Linked DNA regions of Mus musculus. The protein of the gene in region 2 purifies or fractionates together with the protein of the main gene of each other region. This does not show direct contact. Links are inferred from orthologs where the notes say so. Each region holds a gene or a part of one and is shown on either strand. Other genes may lie near its edges.

Region 1 (3,818 bases), on a different chromosome or scaffold from region 2:
GCTGCTCTTCGAGGTCCTGAGTTCAATTCCCAGCAACCACATGGTGACTCACAACCATCTGTAATGAGATCCGATGCCCTCTTCTGGTGTGTCTGAAGACAGCGACAGTGTACTCACATAAAATAATTAAATAGATAATTTAAAAAAAAAGGCTCAGAACTAAGAAATATTCTGACCATCATTTTAAAAAAGGAAAAGTTGTTTTAATGGCAAAAGAGAAGAGGGATACTCTCTGTTATTTAAAATCAATATACAATATTTAGAGTGTACATATTTAATTTTAGTTGCGTTTGTCAGCATGTTGTCACAGAGAAGCTTTGCTTTGGGTAGTGCCAGGCCCATGCCAGTCTCTGGGCACTGACAGTGACAATCAGCATCAACAGACAGTGGGGATTGGGGCTAGCTTTGGTCCCAGGCCCCAGATGACAACACCTTACCACCATCTCCCAGCTACTGGCTCTACGCACGTAACCACTCCTCTTCCTTGAATCCACACAGCTCCTGAAGCCTAGTGTCAAAGCTTGTTCCTTCATTCCAAGGCTGAGCAGACGCCACCCTTGCCACTTCAAGGGGCTACTTTCTGCGTGTATCAGCACGGTCCTGCTTTATATCTGACCTTTTTCCCATTATGACTCACCAAAAACCCCATCTGCCCACGAGTACCTGTTCTCTTCAATCATCTTCAGTATGTCTTCCGATGTGACCTTTCTGAAGGCTTCGGATGGGCTCTCAAGAGCATCATACTCGGCCGGGGACAGAACTGGTTGTGGGTCAAGAACACGACTGACCAAAATGGAAAGCTATGGAGCTAAGTCATCCCACAGAGCCTAAATTCCCAGGTAGGAGATGGAAGGCTCAGAGAAGGGACTCACAGAGGAAGCAGGGCAGAGCTCAGGGACCTAAGTCTCAGACCCCAGCTTAGGGGGTCACTTCCTCCCTGGACCACTCGCCCTTCTCTTCCTTATCAGAGCATCTGTCAACATTTTCCAATAAACCAGACGCTGAACAGTGACGTTCTAGGTTCCAACCCTTCCTTCAATATGCTTGGGTGCTGTTTGTGCAGAATGACCCCCACAGGGCTAAGCTGTGTCCCTTTGTCCCATGGGCCCCTCAGTGCTGAGGAAACCTAACTTCCCAACCTCTTGCTAACAGCTCTAGGACATGGGAGAAGATCTGGATGTCATATTTATTGATGTCATAGGACGATGGCCACCCTTACACAGCCTGGCTCTGCCAATGTGTACAAACATCATAGCCTGCAAATCAGACACCCGCTCATCAGCAAGGATACTGTCTTCAAATCTATACACGTCTTCCGGCTTGGCTGCGTCAGCGTAGCAGGGAGGAAGGTAGAGGACGCCATCTTGTAAGTCATCCTGCATGGCATCGCTGACCAGCGCTTTCAAGGAAGGAAAAGGGATGTCAGCGTCAGCCTGTCTGGCTCCAGGCTCCCCAGCTCCACTGTGCAGTGGGGACCACACGTTCTGAAACTCGAATGTGAACACCTGCTGAGATCTGAACTCCCGGTCGGACAGAGGCAGAAGGTGAGTACAACGTGTTTGCCCTCAACTAACTCAGAACAGAATCAAAGAGATGTGCACTCGTATGTCATTACTGCACACCAGAGAACCCTGACCAAGAGCAGGGCCTGCTCACGGCCCTTCCCATGCCTGTCTCCTCTCCTTGACTGAGGATAGGGTGGTGTCGCATGTCTCGCCTGCTCCCAGAGTCACTCCTGAGGAGGCCTTCAGCAAGCAGCAGGAAGGAGCCCAGCCTTAAGGCCCACCATATGCATCTGTGGCCACTCTCAAGTCTTTGCAGGCCCAGTCTCCACCCCAAGCTCCAGTTGCTTACCATTCACACCCTTTGTATCAATAATACTCTCCGCGGCTTTCGCCACACTGAGATTCAGAGACTCGCTGCCAACTTTGTTCATCCGCCTGGAGTTTAGGGACCGCTTCTGCTTGGTGCTTCCAAAGGCTTCAATGCAAGAATCCAACTATGTAGGAAACAAACCCAATTACTAAAGGGTTGGCTGGGCAGCATGGCTGTCCCCAGCTGTGTGAGCACAGGCAAGCTCTGGGCTGCCTGAGCCAGGATGACATCACCTGCCAATCAGGCTGAGTCCTTTTGTCATGCTTGTCCATCTCAACTGTGCCACAGCAGCCCCGAGGTTTGCTGTACAGACTCCCATTTACAAACCAATAGCTTCCCATCACTACAGAATGAAGACTTTACTAGACTCAGGGTTGGCTACTGGATCTCCCATCCTGTGCCAGTAGCAGACATTGTTAATATACCACTGGCTCTCCCCAAGTCATACTGTAGTGTGTTCTCTATCAGTGGTCCACAAGAAGCACTGCAAATTCAATCTACCACCCTGCGGTGAGAGGCTCCTCTAAGAAACCTCTTTGAGACAAACTCAAAGAACCGACTTTGTTTATGGGAGTTCCCAGGCACAACCACTTTCTACATTGTGAACCACAACTTTAATAAAAGTTTTCTACCCATGGCTGGAGAGATGACACAGTGGTTATTAAGAGCACTGACTGCTCTTCTGAAGGTCCTGAGTTCAAATCCCAGCAACCACATGGTGGCTCACAACCATCTGTAATGAGATCTTCTGGTATGTCTGAAGACAGCTACAATGTACTTACACATAATAATAAGTAAATCTTTAAAAAATAAAATAAAATAAAAGTTTTCTACCTATCAGCCCAGAGAACAGGGTGCAATTGCTAACATTACCTCCATTCACCGGGCTAAGGCAGCAGCTGGTCTGCTCCCTGGGAGACTGGAAGGCCTCTGCAGGTAGCAGCCATGCAGAGACCCATCGACCAATCGAGCTGGAGCAGCCAGTGAGGGCCAAGCTCAGGGGGACTATTACACAGATGGAAACCAGGACCGGCAGGAGCCTCCTAAACTGTCACTCACCTTGTCCCTGAAAGTCTTGTTCTGATTCTCCAGAGGAGGCTCTCGCTCAATAGCATCGTCTATGGAAACACAGAACAGGCAGAGAGCACAGCGTGAGGCTCGCAGATGTGAGTCTACTATTTCTTAAATGGGGTCTTACTATGCTGCCCATGCTGGTTTTCAAAACTTGCGAGTTCCACTGATGCCCTGGTCTCAAACCCCACAAGCAGAGGGGCACTGCAGGCATCAGCTCTGCAAGGCCCAAAAATCTTAAACGTGCTTAGTGTCAATTTAACATTAATCAAAGAGAAGCAGATTTCCTTATTCCAAGATTCCCCTAATATGAATGTACTATACTGTGAACCCTGAATGTCCACCTCAGTACACAAGTAGGAAAACCAGAGAACAGGTGTCCGCTGCACCAGCCTCTTAATTCATAATCAAGGAAACATGAGGCCTCTGGACATAGTGACCAGCCCTGTCACTTTTCCAGGCAAGCCAGAGAGGATCAGAAACCAAGCCCTTGGCTCTTCCCATATTTGCTTTATTGGTCAAAGACCTAAAGGCGGGCTTTCCCAGGCCACTTTCTAACCTTCTACAAAGGACTCAAATAGAGGGCAGAAGGCAATACCATCCAGCAGGACTGCAATGCAATGGCCTTGCCGGTGTCGGCTCAGCAGCAGGTCACCTGCCTCAGCCAGGTTCTGACAGTGGTTTAGAAAAAAAAAAAAAGAGTAACAGTAAGGATGACGTAATTATGTGGTACTTATGAAAGGTGTTTGGTGACAAGTGCACAATGACCCTAAATTAAAGTTGTGCACGTGCTAGCCAGAACAAGCCAGTACTTATAAACTATTTATGCACAACACAAATGTGTCTCATCAAAAGATTAAACAAGGCCGGGC
Region 2 (2,871 bases):
GACAATAACAGTAAAAGTCCCCAAAAGGGCCTGGGGCTCAGGACTCTGGCTATCAGATGACCTCAGTCTATTCATGAGGCGGGGCTGAGAGGGTAACCCGCATCCTCTGCCCCTGGCTGGGGACATGGGATGGATCCTCTCATCATGGTCAGGCTGGGCTGGTGGCTCATACTCGGGAACAATTCTGGAGGGAAGTCACCTTGCAGATGGGTAGCCCTGGTTTAACCACTGTATCCTGGCATCTCTGGACCTGTGGCTGACAGGTCTGGGTTATAAGTGGTCTGACGTCTAGACCTGTGGGAGAGGGGCCTTGTACGTCCAATTCTTAGTACTCCTGAGACTGTGTGGAGGGCCTTAGTCCAGATGCTAGGATTTACGGAGCCTAGGGATGACTTCCCAAGGAGCTAGTTTTGCTTTGAGGGTTTTTTGAGACAGGGCCTGAATTTGACCTCATGATGTTTCTGCCACCCAAGTGCTGGGACTGGGTGTTTGTTTGAGATGGGGTCTCCTGTAACCTAGACTGGCCTCAAACTAGCTAGCACCAAGGATGACCTTGAACTCCTGATCCTCTGGCTTCCAGAGACTGGTATTATAGGCATACACCAAGCTGTTTATGCCGGGGATTGAACCTAGGGCTTTACGTATGCCAGATGAGCACTCCACCAACCAGGGTATGTCTGAGGCCATTGGCTACAACTCAGGTTGGGTGAGAGGAGCTGGGAGCCTGGGACTGGCCAGGAGCTCACATCTTCCCCAAGGCCTGGGGCTCTCACCATCATAGTTTTCAGCTTCTAGTTGTAGCCTCCAGTCTTCATCACGCGGCTCCTCTTCGTTCTCTGGGTTGGGTTGGGAATCCACGGCAGCAGGGGCATGGCTGGTGTCTGGGGTACAGTCCTGGCTCTGAGTGAGGTAGGTATCTGAGGCATCTCTTGGGTGGCTGGGACGGGGCTGGAGCAGTACGCACGCGCACGTGTGTGCCCTGACCCGGCAGGCCAAGTGCAATGCCGTGTGGCCCCCTCTCTCAGCCACCAACACTCCTGCACCGGCTGCATACAACTTCTCTACTGTAGATGCCTCCCCAAGGATGGCTGCTAGATGCAGGGCTGTCTACAGGGATAGAGAGAAGGGGTTAGTTAGGGCCACGCTGACAATCCTGGACCCACCCGGCTCCCTACAGCACACATCCCCATGGCTCACTTGGCCTAGGTCATTCTGCAGGTCAAGGTACTCGGTGCCGGCGGAGAAGCCCAGGAGGAAATCCAGGAAGGGCTCATGCTGATGAATCACAGCCAAGTGCAGGGCTCTGAGGACAAAAGGCAGAGGTCAGTGTCACAGAGTGTCTACTGTGTGCTACAAACTGTGGCCACGGTGGAAACCTGTCAGTGTTCCGGAGAGTCGAGGGCAGAAGCTAATCTAGCACTTTGTCTGGCTGCTCCGTGTTCTGAGCTAAGATAGGGTCTTCATAAGTGGCCCACACTGACCTTGAGTTCAAGCCCTCCCACCTCAGCCTCCTGAGTAGCTCGGCTGACAAGCCAGGGGAATCCATAGACTTAGTGATTTCAATAGCTCTCGTCACCAATAGGCCCAGCTACCAAATTTGTTTCACCTGTGTTAACTAAGTAACATAATCAGTGTAGTAGCTCTAATTCCAGCATCCGGGAAACCTGAGGCAGGAGGATTGTTAGTTCAAGGCCAGACTGGGCTACATGGTGAGTTCCAGAGCAGCAGGGTTAAAAACTAAATAATGAGATTCGATCACACACACATACAGAAATGCTGGGCATGGCGGCCCATGTGAGAGAGGCAAAAGCGGTGGATCTCTGAGAATCCCAGGCTAGCCTGATCTGCATGGTGAGCTCCTGGTCAGCTAGGGCTACACTGTGAGACCTGTCTCAAATAATAATACGGTAATAAAGTGAGGTACAATCGAGGTAGACAGCCAGTATGGATCTCTGTCCTCCACACATAAACATACACATACACACAGACAAGCTGGATACGATGGCTCTCACCACACACATACACAGACACACACACACACACACACACACACACACACACACACTCAGTGTAGCTCTAAGAACAGACCTTCAAATTACATAAAGCAAAAGCTAACAAGGAGAAGAAGCAACAGACGAATCCATAGGTGTGGTAACTTCACTAGGTCTCTGTCACCAACTGTTCCAACAAGTAGGAAAGCAGGAGCAAATGAACGGCAGGGCTCTGTGGTGGCTGCTGCCCTGTCTTTGCAGTCATGAGGACTGAACCTAAGGTAGCTTGCATGCAGGGACGCTGGCTGCCACTGAGCTACCTGCTATTGGTTCCCCTCATTTTGAAGTAGGGCCTCGCTGTGAATGTCCCCAGCCTGGACTTGAATTCACTCTATTCCTCGGCAGGTCCTGACCTTGAGCTCCTCCTGCCTCAATCTTCTTTGTAGCTGGAATCACACGCCCAGCTTTGAACAACACTGCTAACCAACATTCCCTCTAAGTCACACGTTGTCAAAATGAATTCCACCGGCACACAGTTCCCGAGAGCACTCGCCCAGCACTCAGAAGGCCCTGGGTCTGATGGCCAGCGCTGCAAGAGAAAAACTAGAGACCGCAAATCAGACAAAACATGTTCTCTGCCCGCAGTAAAATGAAATTTAAAGCTGGTAACAGAGAGATCTGGAAACTCCTCCAAGCGTGAAAAATGAACATACTTCTTCATAACCTACTGGCCAAAGGAGAAACCAAGAGAAATTAGAAAATATACTCATTTATGCAAAAATAAAAACACAATATATCAGAAGTTCTCCAGAGGGAATATTTACAGCATTCCAAGCACATTAGAAAAGAAGAGAGATGAGCTGGGCAGTGGCTTGCTTGG

What was found.
Region 1: the proteins of Nfkbib (region 2) and Polr1e purify together in Homo sapiens (affinity purification with mass spectrometry; 3 studies listed by BioGRID and IntAct, counting the BioPlex papers as one, with this or other methods). This does not show direct contact. The link is inferred for Mus musculus from reciprocal best matches to the Homo sapiens genes NFKBIB and POLR1E.

What each region holds. Positions count from the first base shown.
Region 1 is NC_000070.6:45,024,945-45,028,762, reverse strand, and holds part of Polr1e (DNA-directed RNA polymerase I subunit RPA49), read right to left. Parts: intron 3,618-3,818; coding exon of another isoform or gene 3,545-3,617; intron 2,994-3,544; coding exon 2,935-2,993; intron 2,000-2,934; coding exon 1,855-1,999; intron 1,400-1,854; coding exon 1,292-1,399; intron 761-1,291; coding exon 664-760; intron 1-663. UniProt on the Homo sapiens protein: Component of RNA polymerase I (Pol I), a DNA-dependent RNA polymerase which synthesizes ribosomal RNA precursors using the four ribonucleoside triphosphates as substrates.
Region 2 is NC_000073.6:28,760,829-28,763,699, forward strand, and holds part of Nfkbib (NF-kappa-B inhibitor beta), read right to left. Parts: intron 1,304-2,871; coding exon 1,198-1,303; intron 1,108-1,197; coding exon 774-1,107; intron 1-773. UniProt on the Homo sapiens protein: Inhibits NF-kappa-B by complexing with and trapping it in the cytoplasm.